2 linked regions of the Caenorhabditis elegans genome follow. The protein of the gene in region 1 interacts with the protein of each later gene in a pairwise test. Each region holds a gene or a part of one and is shown in the gene's direction. Other genes may lie near its edges.

Region 1 (9,991 bases):
GCAGGCAGGCAGGTAAAAAGATACATGCGGCAGGTAGGCCTGTAAGCACTGACATGCGCAAAAGCGTAGACAGGTAAACAGGTAAAACGATAGTTGAGACAGGTAGGCCTGTAGGCATTGACTGTCAGAAAAGCGTAGACAGGCAAGCTGATAAAAAGATACATGAGGCAGGTAGGCCTGTAGGCATAGACTAGTCACAAAAATGTAGGCAAGCGGGTGAAAAGGTACCTGGACATGCGGAAGGTAGGCCTGTAGGCACTGACATGCGCAAATGCGTAGGCAGGTCGATAGGCATACACTTTTTGCTATCACCGCCGATTTTTCCCGAAACTAGTTTTTAAAACATTTTTTCTGTTGCAAAATATTGATTTTTTCAGAGACTACGAGCGAACCTCCCGTTGGCGGATTTTCCGCGCTTTATTGATTTTCCAGCATGGGATAATTTTTGTGATGCACTGGTTTTGTTTTTTCAATCATATCAACTTTTTCCTAGGGTTTATTGTTTGTTTTTTGTTTATTATATTGGCAGTTGTGGTAATTTTATTTTTTTGAATTTTAAATTTTTTATTTTTATAAACTAAAACAAATCCATATTTCAGATATTCATATCCAACTGGTGCTATAATAAAAACTTGCTCAAGAAATTCGAACAACATACCAAAGAAAGCATAGAACTCTACACGTTGGCTGCAAGGTTTCAGGCAAAAGAGAATGTCAGAGCTTTTGAGGTGAGATTTTTGAAAATTCGCAAAAAATTCTAAAATCGCAGAAAATTGTAGCAAAATTTTTCAAAAGATGGTGCGGGATTCGAAAATTTTTTTCAGTAGTTTTTGAAATTATTTGCGCAAAATCTAAATTTTTAAAAATTAATAGTAGAAATATTGGTGAACAATAGTTGTTGCAAGAAATGTTAAATAATTTTTTTTTTGAAAGTTCAATTTTTTAAATTATCACGAAAAAAAATGTTAAACTATGAAAAAAATTTCCAAAAAAATTATGTGAACTTCTAAATATTACAAAATTGGTTTTAAAAATATTTTGGCGCGAAATAACACTTTTGAAAATTTTCGACAAAAAATAAATTATAGGGGTACCTAGTGGGCGATTTGAAACTTCAAACATTAAATTTTCAAAAATAATTTTCAAAAAAAAAATTGGGACTTGATAAGTGTTTTTTTTCCAATTTTGCAAAAGTTGTGAATTTCAGAAAAATTTAATTGTATTAGGAAATTCAGAATTTCAAAAAAGTCAAAAAATAATTTTTTTTTGTAATTTGCCAACAAAGGTATTTAAAAAAAATTACCAAAGCAACAGGAAAAACTGCACTAATCAATTTTCAGCTAACAATTCGAATCATAATTGTCGGCTTCTCCCTTCTGATTATAGGAATTTGCTGTGTTATAGCCATAAACTACAAATGGATTCCGTCGTATAGCACGTTATTCGTCTTCTGTTTTCAAAATTTGGTGCATCTGTAAGTATCCTCCAAACAAAGGAAACTGCTTATAAATCTTAAAATTTCAGCAATCCCCTGATAGTCTGCCCAGTGTTAATACTCTCAGTGAGCCCGTGGAGCAAGGCAATCCCGTTCTTCCGGAAAGTTGATTGCATTGCTCTGAAGAGCCAACGTCCGGTTTCGTTATCCGGGCAGAATGTGGCACAGGAAACCGATTTCTATTTTAATCAGTTGCAGAACACGTGGGAGTTGAAGAATTGAGATTTTTTGATAATAAATATTTTGAACTTAATTGAAAATTTTTAGTTTTTTGAGTGCAAATTTCAACAATATTTTCAATCTTACATGAAATAACCGTCTGAAAATAAAAATTGAAAAATTATAAAGTCCCTATTTTTATCGAAAGTTTATGAAAAAAAGAATATGAAACATTATTTTTCCTACGTTACTGGTGTCCCCCGGAAACTTGTGATTTTAAAAGCCTTGGCATCTATACAGGGGTGGGCCGCGAAAGATTTTTTCCGGCAAATCAGCAGATCGGCAAATTACCGGAATTGAAAATTTCCGGCAAATCGGCAAACCGGCTAATTGCCGATTTGCCGACTTTGCTGTAAATTTTCGGCAAATTGTGGGTTTGCACATTTTTTTTTGGAAATTTAAAAATTTCAAATTTGATCGGAAAAATTGCACTCATCCTAGGAATGCTCATACATCTATTTTTAGAAGTAGACAATTCTATGAAAATATCTAAAGAAAACGGGAAAACATTTCACAAAGGCACAGTTTTAAGGGTTTCCGTCTTACATAAAATTCCTCTAAACATTTCCGACAAATTGATAACCGGAAAACGGCAAATGGGCAAATTGCCGAAATTGAAGACTTCTGGCAAATCGGCAATTTACCGAAATGAAAACATCCGGCAAACCGGCAAACCGGCAGATTGCCGGATTTGAATATTTCCGGCAAATCTGCAAACCGGCACTTTGCTGAAAATAAAAATTTCCGGCAAATCGGCGAATTGCCGGATTTGAACATTACCGGCAAATCTGCAAACCGGCACTTTGCTGAAAATAAAAATTTCCGGCAAATCGGCACATTGCCGGATTTGAACATTACCGGCAAATCTGCAAACCGGCAATTTGCCGAATTTGTCGACGAAATATTTGCCGAACGGCAATTGCCGCCTTTCCCTGGTTTATACCTCCAAAAATTGAATAATCTGCTATAAGTTATGGTGATGATTGTTATAAACACATATAATTATATAATACACAAAATAATTGGAATGTATTTTTTTAATCCTTATACATATACATATATCCATAAGCCATCCTCTTTTTATATCTAATCAGGGCTTAACTTCTCTTGCACTATTCCCCTTCAATCTTCCTCTCTCCACATAATTCTTCGTCGTCATACAATTCCCCATCATCTCCTCACTCTTTTGCCCAATTGCCCCGCCCGTAAACCAATCATCGTTCGAGTCGACGAGACACTGTGGTGAAAGAAGAGGGTCGGGGAGGTGTGACTGTGAGTTTGAGTGGGGGTGAGCGTGCGCGCATCACACACTCTCCACTGCGACTCGCATTGATTGATTTGGTCACTCGCACTTTTTTGTTTGCTGTTTTCGTTTTTTATTTTTTTAAAATTATTTTAGTGTTTTGATCGAAAATATAATGTGAAAATTAAAGTATTTAAAATTTTATTTTAAAACCATTTTGGTTAAAATTTAGTTTTCTTTTCAAATTTAGGCTACCGGTATCTAAAAGTTTTCTGCGAATTTCTGTGAGATACGAGTTTTTATTGTGAAGATCGGGCATAACTTTTTGGAGTGTCTGAAAGTTGAATTGACAGTTTTTTTTTTAGAAAAGAAACATTTCCAGAATTTTATTGATTTTTTTGTGTAAAAAATCTACCTCTACTTATTTAAAAATTTATTTTCCTTGTGTAATCATTTTTGAAACAAAATCCCAAGTACCATACACCCCCCCCCCCCCCCCCCACTATACGAGCAATCGCGCTCCATCACGAATCTTGACGCTCCCCTCTCAGCGGGAGATTGTTTTATTGAATTTCACTGCAACATACATTTAAATTAATTTTTTCAAAAGAAATGAGTTCAAACTTGACCAGTAATGAGATGTCATCAACATCTGCAATTGTAGAGCCCCCGGAGGCTGTGAAGGGAAATGAAAGGGATAAGGTATAGTTTACAAATTTTTAAAAATAAAAATAATCGTTTCTCCACTACTTTTACACAAAACAAATGATTTATACCCAGCTCAATATTTTTTTAAACTATTTTTTATATTTTATCAAATGTTGCCCAGTTATTTTCCAATGAGATATAGGGGTTAAAAAAAAAGAAACAAATTTAGTAATTATCAACTTCAAAACCCTCTAACTTGCCGGAAAATAGAGATATGGAAAAATTGTTAACTAACACTTTGGAGTACCAAAATTTATCTACATTTTATTAGTTGACAATTTTTTGATAGCTAACCGTCCCAATAAGTTACAATAGTTTTAAAACTTTCAGTCCACTCGACGATCGACATCTCAAGTGGTTCGACCGGAAAAGCACGAAGTTGAAAATGCATTGGAAGGTGAGTATTTTTCAAATATATTATAGAAAAATTAATAATTGCAATTTTGGTGCTCAAGTTATAATATAAACTCCGTTTTGGCAAATTGCCAATTTTCAAAAAACCCCAATTTCCGAATTTCTCGGAAATTTACCAAAATTTTGTAGTTTTTTAAAGCTCTACTAGACCTTCAATTTTTGAAACTTGCTTACAATTAGTGAAAATAATAATTTTTCAGATCAATGCTCATCAAGCAGCTTACCAAAAGAAGCTCAATATTATGCAAAACTCGACAAAAAGCTAGAGGGCAAAGACCCCCGATCTCAGTTCTACGAAGCGGTACGCCTGTCCGCCGACATTTTTGCTCATAAATTCGAAAAAGCCGTGTGCTCCCGCCAAACGTTCGAGCCGACCAACTCCATCATCAAAGTGCTCAACACTGCCGAGGAGGAGATGCTCCACGAGAAGGTTGTCCCACTACCAGTCAGCTCAAAGCTCCAATACTATCTCAACCGGGGACGTTATGATACGATATTCGATCGTGATGAGCAATTGCAAAGGACTGCTGACCCGATGGCCGACGAGCCGGATCATGTGGAGAAGCGGGTGACGAGCATTTTGGAGCAAGCTTCTCGAGAGATGGAAGAAGGGGAAGTCGAGCCGGTGTTCTATGATGGATCTGATGAGGATCAGGAACTTCCGATTGATCTAGGAGCTATGAGAAATCTGCAAAGGTAGGCACTAGAGCTTCAGAACAAAAAATTAATTAGCAAATATATTATTCCCAAAAGCAAAAAGCCCAAAAAGCGCATACATTTAACCAATTTGTGGGTGGTTTTTTATACGCATAAAGCTACGTTCAGGCCGTTTTTCAGGCCGTTTTCAGGCGTTTAGAATTCTTGAACTAAGAAAAAAAATAGATATTAAAGAATGTCGTGGGATGATTGTTAATGATAACAAAACTCAATATTGCAATATGAAACGGACAATAAGCAATATCTGAGTCATGGCGGAAGGGAAAAAAGTGCGATATTTCGCACAACTATCATATGGCCTGGCTTCCAGATTTTGATCATATCAGTCTTTTCCGTGGTCTCATTACGGTTTGATCTACAAAAAATGTAGGAATTTTTTGCTCAAAAATATGTGACGTCAGCACGTTCTTAACGATACAAAATCGGTTGAGAACTCTGCGTCTCTTCTCCCGCATTTTTTGTAGATCTACGTAGATCAAAGTCTTTGAAATTTTTGAGCTTAAATTTCCCTACACTTTATCAAGATAACAAACGCGCCCTATTGCCAACTTCTCGCACACCGACGCCGCCAAGTTTGAAGGTGATAGGGGGGGAGAGTGAGAGGGTGCCAGAGATTCATGTAAACATGGAACGATGTATGTTTTCCCAGCAGTGTGTGACCTTGTGTGTATGTTTTTTGTCGCGCGTTATATCAATTTTTGTTAGCAATGTTTCAATTTTCTGTGATAACAATCAATCAACTGTTTTCAGAACCAACAAGTTCGCGGCTCGCTCGAGCAGAATGGCAGCTCGGAGGGGAGGACGGCCCGGCTATCGTGGTGCTTTCAGAGGTGCAGCTCGCGGAGCACCTTCTAGAAGACCTGCACCAGCTGCAGAGGTGGCTCCAGAGACTCCAGTAGCGGCTCCGATGGCTCCAGCGGCTCCAGCAGCTCCTGCAACACCTGAAGCAGCTCCGGCAGCAGAAGTTATGGACACATCAATTGCCACAGAGATGCCTCAAGAGTCGGCTGTGGATCTGTCAAATGTGTCGGCGGCTACCGAGATGGATACATCTAAAGAAGGAGAAGCGTCCAGACCGACTAGCGAGAAAAAAAAGGTAAGCTTTTTGAAGGCTCGTATCTCGGACGGTTTTTGTTTTTTCGAAAAATTCTTAACTAACAAAATAATTACCGCATTTTTTTACAATTTCGTAGTTGAGTATTTGTTGATAACTTAAATTGGAGCAATTTATAAGCTTTACTTTGGCAACTCGTAACTGAATCTCTAATGCATATTTTCTATTTATTTTTTATTTTAAATTATAGAAAAATTAATTCTAAACATTTTTGCAGTTTTCAAAATTTTTATAAGACAAAAACCAATTGAGATATAAACTTTCAAAGCTGAAATTTGCTCTAAAAATTGAAAAAAGGTTCTAAAAAAAAGGTTCGTGAACAAATTAAAATTTTTTCTCAAAGTTTCAGAAAATCCGCACAACCGAAATGGACCGTCTTATGAGCATGGACTTGGGACCCAAGGATGGTGGCCGAGTCGGCGAACTCGGCCACATGTGGCCCGAATCACGCCGTCGTCCTGCTGCACCCCTACCAGAGACACCTGCTGCTCAACCGAGAAAGTCTCTGCCAAGGCGAGCCGCCGAGAAGAAGAAGCCTGAAGATTCGGACGCCGCTGAGGAGCAGGAGGTTGAGATGGAGGTGGATAACGACGCGAGCACATCTACTCCAAGAAATGCACGTGGAGGTAGAGGTGGTGGCAATAGACGAGGATCGAGAAGAGGTCAGAAGAGGACATCTGGAGGATCGGGGAAGCTCGTGGAGCCAAAGAAAGAGCCGGTCGACGAGCCAGCCGAGAAAATCCCAAAAAGATCCGAGGCAGCTCCAGAAGTTCCAGCTACTGCCACAACCAAAGAAGCCCCACCATCCACCTCCAGCTCCCCACCGGATGCTCCAGCTACCCCAGCCACTCCAGCTTCATCCGACTCTCGGGATTCCCCACGAAAGATCCGGGCGATGATTTTCTCGCTTACCGGATCCCCACCAGAGTCTGAAACTCCGCCAGTTCTGCAGCAAGAGCAGGTGATCTCCACAGCAGCACCGACAGCCGGTCGCCATCCAAACATCATTCAGCAGGTCCCGCACATCAATCGGATCCCGCCACAACCGCTGAGACGTCTCACAGCTCCTCAGGCTCCACCAGCATCCCAGCCAGAAGAGCCTCCAGTTCAGCAGACTGTTCCGGTGGTTAAAGTCGAATTGGCTTCAGCTCCAGCTCCAATCGTCAGGGATCCACAGTCAACGGAGCCAGTTCCACCTGCGATGCCTACACTTGTCGAGGTAACCATTTTCAGAATATGACGACTAATTTTTAATTACAATTTTCTTCAGAACAACCACGAAGCTACGCTCATTTTGCCGCCCAACAAGACATCAGACTACACAAGGTGGAACGTAAGTTTTTTAAGGCTCAGGCTTAGGCTTAGGCTTAGGTGTAGGCTTAGGCTTAGGCGTAGGCTTAGGCTCTGGTTTGGGCTTAGGTTTCAGCTTAAGCATAGGCTCAGGCTCAAGTTCAGGTTCAGATCTAGGCTTAGGCTTAGGCTTAGTATTAGGCATAGGTTAGCCTTAGGCTCTCTCTCTCTCTCAGGTTTAGGCTCTGGTTTAAGCATAGGTTCAGGCTTAGTCTCAGGCTTAGCCTGAGGCTTAAGCGTAGGCTTAGACTTTTGGCTTAGGCTTAAGCTCAGGTTTAGGTTTTGGCTTAGACTTTGGCTCAGGCTTAAGCTCAGGTTTAGACTTAGGCTCAGGCTTAGACCTAGGCTTAGGCTCAGCATTAGGCTTAGGCTTAGGTTTAGGCTTAAGCTTAGGCTTAGGCTTAGGCTTAGGCTCAGGTTTAAGCATAGGTTCAGGCTTAGGCTCAGGCTTAGGCTCTGGATTTCGACTTAACACATTCTAAAACAATTATGCTTCAGGCGCAAGATCTCATCAACTGGGTTCGGCTTCTCATCACCAACAACGTGGATTCCACTATTGCAATTATGGTTCGCGAGGAGTTTGACGGAGAAACGCTGGCCTGTCTTGTGTTGGACGATGATTTTCGAAAAGAGGTACCAATTCCATATGGTCATTATAAGAAGATGAAGATCTATGGGACTGAGGTGCTCAACCATTATCGTACGGAAAAGTATCAAGCTGATTTGAGAAAGTTCCATGAGGAGTTGGCTGCCTGGAAGGCTCAGCAGCGTTAACTCTGTTAATTTTTTTATGTTAATTTTAATGTTAAAATTAATATTTTTGTTGTTTTTTCTGACATTTCAAGCTCTTGCATATTGACTCCTACCGCTTTACCCATTCCTCGTTACCTAATTTGGACCTACTTAGATGATAGAAAACTTTCAGCAGTTTTCTAATTTTTAATAATTTTAATTTTTTGTAAGTTGATTGCAATTTCTTTAACTATTAAATTCCCCTTTGATACTCACAGAGACATGTTTTATATTCTATAATCAATCGATTTTTGTCATAATACCCGTTTTACCCTTATTTTTTCTGTTCACGTTTGCCCTCATGATTAAATGTTTTTCGAGTTTTTTAAATGTTAATGACATTTTGTATATGAAAAGTTAAAAAATATTCATTTCTGGTTTCCACAAAGCGAACGATACACAAAAATGTTAAAGAACGCTGTGAATGCAATGAAAAATGTGAGATTTTTAATTAAAAAATCTCTTACCGGCTGAGCACACGTGGCTCAGTGGGTAACAGGCTTGACTGGCAAGCAGGAGGCCACTGGTTCAAGTCCACCGACCTCCACCGACGTCAGGAATCGAACCTGTGATCTTTTCCCTTAAAGCTGAGCCTCTTACCGGCTGAGCCACTGGCCGCACAGCACCGCAAAAAATTGTCGGCATGGCTCAGTGGGTAACGAGCTTGACTTGCAAACAGAAGGCCACTGGTTCGAGTCCTTGAACTGAAGTAAACATTTTCAGATCGGAAAATCTCGATCGAGAAGTGCAAGTCGCGAGAAGGTGCTCAAAGACTCGGCCGTACAAGCTTCACCATCATCCCGTGAAGCCGTCCAAGTCGTCAAGGCAATCGCCCAACCAGTCGTCGAACAAAAATAAATATTCTCACGTTTTTTATTACTCTAAAAGAAAATGGGTTCACAGGGCTATCAGTAGAGCGCATATCAGATTTTTGGTCGAAATTTGAGAGAGATTTGTACTCGGGATAACGGGCACAACGGGTAGGGTGGTAGGATATGGAATAAATATTTTGTTGGAACTGTACAAGAAGGGGCTAGAATCAGAGGAAAAAAAAACATTTTAAAAGCAATAGAAAACCAAAGAAATCCCGTTTTGAAGTGGAGAGAAGGAGTTTAAAGGCAGCAAGTTAAAAATTTTCAGAAGAGGGTGCAGTATATCGTATGAAAGTCATGAAGGATTGACTCTCCGGTTCGACTATTCACATTTTTTGAAGGTTTTTGAAGTATCTTCCAATGTTGAATGTCGTATCGGACTGGAATAGATTAATTGAGTTTCTGGAGTTTATTGAATCCTGCAATTCTTTTTCTTCTTCAGCTTGATCGGTGATTCGAGCTTCCGATCGTCATGGGGGTGGATGGGCATGCGCTCGTCATGTTGGTATTTTCTGAAATTTCGAGATTTTAAGTATGAAATTCAAACTCAGCGCGTTGAAAAACCTATAAACCTATAAACGACCTCGAGAACTCGAACCTGTGACCTTCTGCTTAGCAGCCAAACCTCTTACCCACTGAGCCACGCACGCAAAAGTTTCATCTGAAACTCGAGCATGGCTCAGTCGGTAAGAGGATGGGGTTTGAGACAAAGGGTCGCGGGTTCGAGCCCGCTAGCCCCAGTTGGGGATTTTTAATTAATTTTTTTCAAATTTCTTACCTGACTAATCTCACAATATCAAAAAACGCTTCATCAACATTTTTTCGAATTTTTGCCGAGCACTCCAAATATGGTATTGAGAGTCGGTGTGCGAGCTCCTCGGCTTCATGTCGGGCTACCTGAAATTCGAGGTTTTATTCGATAATTTTTTATGGGAAATTTAACATATTCAGTGTAAAAAACCTAATAGCCATTCTGGGGGGTCGAACCGTGACCTTTTGCTCCAAAGGCAAGCCTCTTACCGGCTGAGCTATGCAGCGCAGCGCGCATGGCTCAGCCGGTAAGTGGC
Region 2 (5,923 bases), on another chromosome or scaffold:
TTTACAGTATACGGTTCTAAGTATTTAGGACGTAAATATTGAATTTGCACTCAAATAAACGGGTTACGTAATGAAAATTCTCAAAAAATTTGTCAAAAATTTTATATGGCGGTTCACAAAATGTCGAAAAAACATTTTGGTAATTTTTCCATATCGCAGCGGTTGGAAACAGCGGTGGGCGGCAATTGCCGTTCAGCAACCTTTTTGTCGGAAATTTCGGCAATTCGGCAAATTGCCGGTTTGCCGATTTGCCTAAAATTTTCATTTTTGGCCAATTGCCGACTTTCCATTTCCCGGATATCAAATTTGCCGGAAATGTTTAAAGAGAGTTTTTATAAAACGGGAACAATTAGAACTGTACCTTTTTGAAAATTTTGCTTACTTTTCAAAATAGATGTAGGAAAATGTATGAGTTGCTGATTGGAATTGGAATTCTGAAATATCTTTAGAAAAAGCGAAAAACCACAATTTGCCAAAATTTTTCAGCAATTGCCGTTTTCGGCAAATCAACATTTTGCCGGTTTGCCGATTTGTCGGAAATTTTCAATTCCGGCAAGATGCGGATTTGCCGATTTGCCGGAAATATCAATTCCATTATGAGAATTTTTTGGGAAATTTAATTATGAGATCTGTTTAGTTGAGCACTTGTTGGGTCTTTACGTTCAAAAAACCAGAACCATTACACCTCCCAAAAAATTAATTTTCTAATTTCAGGAATCCGTTCTGCTGTAAATTTCATTAGACAATGTGTTCTTATGGACTGATTTCTACCGGTTTTTTTTTCAACCTGAAAAAGCTTTGTTCTCATTCCCTGTATATTATCCTTCTCGTTTTTAAATCTCATGTTTTAACGATCTAAAAATTATTTATCATGATGGATAGTATTACTGAACTGGTTTCCCTGTGTTTATGTAGTTAATGGTCTATGTTGTAAATATTTGGAAAATTTTAAATATGCCAAATATTAATTTTATAAAGAACTTTTGGTTTTCAAGACTTGTTCAATAAATTCTTCATCCTTAATTTCAATGTATAACAAATTGAAATTATTAGAAATGAGGTGGATAAAAAAAAGAGTTTTACAACTAATAATTCGTATGTTAAATCTAACTTTTATAAAGTGAAAGTTTTCTCTAGTGTAGTTTGAAACGCCATTTTCGATAACTAATATTTGCAAAGTTTGAAGAACCTTTAAAAATTTTTTGAAGTATTTTCCAAACGTTATAGATATTAAAAAAATCACGCTGGTGGTTTACGAATCTATTGAGCTATTTTTTCAAAGAACAGAAAGTTAGTGACAAATTCGATGAAGCCATACAGTTCTTCGAGGGAGTCCCTACCTTTGTTATGAGTGAATTAAACACCGCAGCACCACAGTTGACTTTAGAGACACGTGCGGAATTTTTTTTTCAATTCTGCATGCCGAAAAATTATAAACGAACAGTGGAGATTCAACAAGGAAAAATTGTGTTTCTTTTTTTTAACCTGAATTTGTGACTTACCAAATTGAGAAAAACTTTGCGCGCAGTGTTACTTTCAATTTTGATGCTACAGTTTTTGAAATCTCGCAAAAATAATATATTAAATATGTTTTGCAGTAAAAAATTTGTAACTTTGAAGCAGGCCCACAACAATTGCCAAAATCGTCGATTGCCAGAAATTTGATTTCCAAAAACAATATTTTCATAGATTCTGTAAAATTAAAAACACATAAATGCCTCTAAAAATTTATAAATACCGAATACCTGAAAGGTGAAGTTCAAAATTTGCTGAAATATCAGTCAATTTCAGGTAGGCTACACCAATTCAACAAATGCCTTAAACTTTTTAATTCGTAAATTTGAAATGGTCTTCAGCAAAAATGCTTTTGATTGCCTTGCAAAAAAAACTACCTAAGATTTCATGGTTTAGTAAACAACTTATCTAACTTTTAATTTTTCAGCATATGCTAGAAATCGTAATACATACCTCGTTCAAAGAACACGTTACAAAAAATATCCCAATTTATAAAATTCATGCAAGTAACAGTAGTTTTAACTGCCGAATCCAAGTTCGATATTAGTCTAATAATCGTGAAAGAATAATGATTTTAAAATAGCATGTCTGCAGTAAAATAGTAACATGGAAAAAAAGTAGCGGGGCAGAGAATCGACAAAACTGGTCAGGTGTAATTTGGGCATGAAATGCGCGCCTCTTCAGTCAGGCCTTTCATTCTTCCTTCTTTTCAACCATATTTCATTCTCGCGCTTCAGCCATTTTGCACTTATTCACAGAATTTAGACTTCACATGTGTTTCTTCCACTCTTTCTTCTATTTCTCTTGTATCAAATTTCAATGCCCAAAAGAGACAGCCTTTCTGATTCGAGCAAAAGATTGGTGGAGCATCAAGCTAAACATGGCAGTTCCATTTCCCATGTTATTTTTTATATTGAAAAAGAAGACCTCTGGGTCATTTCCTCTCGTTTCCCATTGTCTGACAGCAAATAAATGGCGCGGTAGTTGAGTTCAGTTTAGTTCATTTCCCGTGATACGTCAAATCCTTTTTTTTTACTCTTCTTTTTGCGGTGGTCTCTGTTTGGGAACGATTGCATGTGAAAATGTTCTTATTGTGCCAGTATTGTTTCCTGAAAATTGTTTCCAAAAATTAATACATAATAAATGAGAAAATACACCGAGCTATTTGACCACCTGCTCTTCTAGTGTGCATGTGCAAAACGTGCTAGTATTGCGAAATATGGAGTGTATCTAAAGCTTATCAAATGAGCATTTGATAGATAAAAATGGATTCATCCAATTTTTTATCCGTTTTTTGAAATATAATATGTGTTCAGGTTCTATTACTTGAAATACTGAAAAAAAAATTATTGCTTTTATAGTGTTGTAGATAATAATTAAAGGTGCTCCTATATTGCTAAAATGCTAATATAGTTTTAAATGCTCCTATAATTCAAAAATGTCCAAATATCGCAGTTAAACTGTTGGGAAAACTTTTGAAATGTTCAGTTTTGTAATTAAACAGTTGGTGAAATTAGTTTTCATTTATCATATGTTTTGGTAGTCGGCCGTCGGCTAAAACAACGCAGAAAATTTGGCAAGTCATCAAAACTTTGACTGGAAATGTTAAAAAATCTAAAACTGTTTCAAGTGTTCTATGATGACTAATTTGAACTATTATACATATTTTAAAATTAAATCTATATTAAAGGTTCTTCACTTATTATACATTCGTCAAAAAAATACACCTGTTCAAAAATTTAAAATTTAAAAAAATCTAAACTTTAACTTTTTGAATAGTGATTGTTTGAAAATAGCTTTCAATTATTTTATCATTGCTGACATTAACGTTTCACATTTGAGCAAGTAATACGCAGAGCTCATACGTATTTGCATGTACGCTGCTGGCTCACACCACCTTTTCTTTCTCTCTCAAATATGTATTCGCCCGTTCTCGTTTCTCTCTCACCGGCTTATGAATCTCAAATGTGGGGTGGCAGAGGGGCCCCCACTCTGTTTTGTGCTCAATTCGAATAAGTGGTGGTGCCCTTTGAGAGATGTCCAATGACATTTTGTGCTTAACATTTCATGAGAATTGTCTTTCTTCGTACATCTTTTCCAAGAACAGAAACTTTAACATGTTTCTTTTGTTTCTTTGAACTAAATCTTTTACGAATTTATTATTCCAAATTTTTTATGTACACAATTTCGTTCAGAATGTCCGAAACACTGATAATTCGCTTCAATGTTGGAGGAACTCCAATGGCAACCTTGAAGACGACTTTCCCAGTTGACTCAATTTTCCACAAATGGTTTGTGTCAAGAACAAAGGCGTCCCCATTCACAAGCGACCGAGATGGCGCGTACTTTGTCGATAGAGACCCATTTTCGTAAGTGAATCACAAAGGTATTTATTAAAATTATTCTCATGATTGTAATTTGGTAATTTGGAAATTTGGACGATGGAAATTATAATATATTGTAGTTGAAAAAAAAAAATAAATCTTTAAATACTTTCTTTCAGATTCGGCGTCGTGCTCAACTATTTTCGTCTCCGGAAAGCTGGACAGCTTTGGGAAGCCTGTCTACCAAAAGACCCAGACAGGTTGGCAATGCTGACACAGGAAGCAGATTTCTTCCTTCTGCCTCAACTACGTGATCAAGCAATCTGCATGCTTCAGCTATGTAGTAATAAAAATGATTCCAACTATATAAACGAGGTATTTATATACTTAAAAACTATGATAATTATCTGTTGAATTTCAGATGCTTGCCAAAAGCACAAGTTGCCCGCAAGGATTTGACAAAAAAGAGGAAGAGGATGAAGAAGATTTTTAAATTCTGTAATAAATCTATATTTTGTGATAAAAGCTACAGAATAAACGAATTCTTCTTTGCGGTTTTGTGGAAAATTAACTACTTACTTTCACTAATTGACGTATTCAATTCTCTACAAAACTATTATTTATCTGGTAACAAATTCCGTTTTTTTCAACAACCAATGTATGTTTGCTAACGTGGCCCCCTGCCAAAAAATTAGCAAGTCATCCAAAACAAAAAATCCCCTTAGAAACGCACGTGTCTACCACTTTTTGAAACTATTCCCGAAGATTTTGAAACTTTTTTTTAATGCTTGCTGGCGATTTTCAACGATATGTTTGGGTACAGGGAGAACGGAAGCGACAAAAAAATCGAGAAAAGTATGACGAGACTAGAAAGCGATACTTGGATCATGGTTAGTTTTTCCACGTATTTTGGATGTTTTATATTGTTACGAAATGCCGTGTTTTCTCTATTAGTATTGCACACCGTGGGCCAACTTTCACAACATACATCTCAATTGCCAGTTTTCCTTTACTAGTAAATTTGTCAACTGACGAAATTTTTGTCAATTCCTTTTTTTAAGTTTTGTAGTTAATAGATTCAGAAAAAAATTTCAAGATTTAAAATTAAATTATACTTTCAGAATTTATTGATTTTGTTTTACAAAAAAGATATTGCAAGAACTAAATTAAAATTTTTGTTCTAGATTTACGAGCGATTTCGCAATAGGGGGCAATTCGTGAAATTTGGTTTAAAATAGCTTTTTATCCTTTTTTGAAATGTTGCTTAGAGTCAATTTTTTCTGCTCTAAATGACAATCTTAGTATGTCAGATATCACTTTTAAAAGATTGTCAATCTTTTTTATGATTTTTTTTTCAATTTTACGAAAATCAAAGAAACAGTGAATTTGTAGTCCCGTAAAAGTCAGCGACGTCATTTTTGACATGTTTTCAGACTAACTTGCCGATTTTAGATAAATTTTGAACTTTCCGCAATTTACTTTCACGGAAAAATGTTTAAAAATTGACAAAAAATGTTTCTAATCAAATATTATGGAAAAATCAAAGAGAACCAATGGTTTTAGCCAGAAAACACGAAAAAAATCATTTGAAGCTTAAAATTGCTCTTTATCTATGTAAGATAAACCTAATGAAACTGAATGCTGATTTTAAAAAAAATGTAGTTCAATTTTTCCAGTCACAAAGTACAAACCCTCTTGCCCTACAACTTATATATTTCAATTTTAGATGTGGTAGACGCCGAGCCAACAAAAAAACCGAAAGTCGTTTGGCCTGGAGAATTTGAAAACCAATTAAGGAAGCGAAACCGAAATCTGGAGAAAATTGGTGGGTGAAAGGTCATAAAAGAAAAAGAACCCAATGTATTTTTTGCAGATGAAAGAGAGAATAATAGACTTGAAACACCAGCAATACATACTCCTTCGGACACTCAAAGCCTGATTTCTAAGTATCTTACTGTAATAATTTAAACTCAAAATCAAGACTAAAAGTTTCAGTGAAGAGGATGCACACTCAACTTCTGATTTGAAACCAGAGACACCGCCAGATGACAAAGTACATAAAGTGGAAAAGAAAGAGCCACCTC

Evidence for each region. The genes of interacting proteins can lie anywhere in the genome.
Region 2: the proteins of sop-2 (region 1) and F49H12.3 interact in a two-hybrid assay, tested with the Caenorhabditis elegans proteins (one large-scale study listed by BioGRID).

The regions. Positions count from the first base shown.
Region 1 is NC_003280.10:12,336,377-12,346,367, forward strand, and holds sop-2 (Polycomb protein sop-2), read left to right. Parts: upstream 1-3,567; 5' UTR 3,568-3,569; coding exon 3,570-3,659; intron 3,660-3,995; coding exon 3,996-4,062; intron 4,063-4,279; coding exon 4,280-4,775; intron 4,776-5,546; coding exon 5,547-5,892; intron 5,893-6,253; coding exon 6,254-7,129; intron 7,130-7,180; coding exon 7,181-7,243; intron 7,244-7,258; exon of another isoform or gene 7,259-7,312; intron 7,313-7,758; coding exon 7,759-8,034; 3' UTR 8,035-8,419; downstream 8,420-9,991. Other genes in the region: sre-52 (Serpentine Receptor, class E (epsilon)), read left to right, coding at 378-534, 600-728, 1,341-1,474, 1,525-1,717; C44C11.6 (Transcriptional regulator), read left to right, coding at 8,458-8,490, 8,776-8,910; ras-1 (R-RAS related), read right to left, coding at 9,334-9,436, 9,703-9,821. UniProt on the Caenorhabditis elegans protein: Polycomb group (PcG) protein. PcG proteins act by forming multiprotein complexes, which are required to maintain the transcriptionally repressive state of homeotic genes throughout development.
Region 2 is NC_003284.9:2,080,665-2,086,587, forward strand, and holds F49H12.3 (Potassium channel tetramerization-type BTB domain-containing protein), read left to right. Parts: upstream 1-3,710; 5' UTR 3,711-3,711; coding exon 3,712-3,884; intron 3,885-4,018; coding exon 4,019-4,214; intron 4,215-4,260; coding exon 4,261-4,332; 3' UTR 4,333-4,393; downstream 4,394-5,923. Other genes in the region: F49H12.4 (uncharacterized protein), read left to right, coding at 715-732; F49H12.2 (uncharacterized protein), read left to right, coding at 4,624-4,729, 5,566-5,664, 5,713-5,785, 5,835-5,923.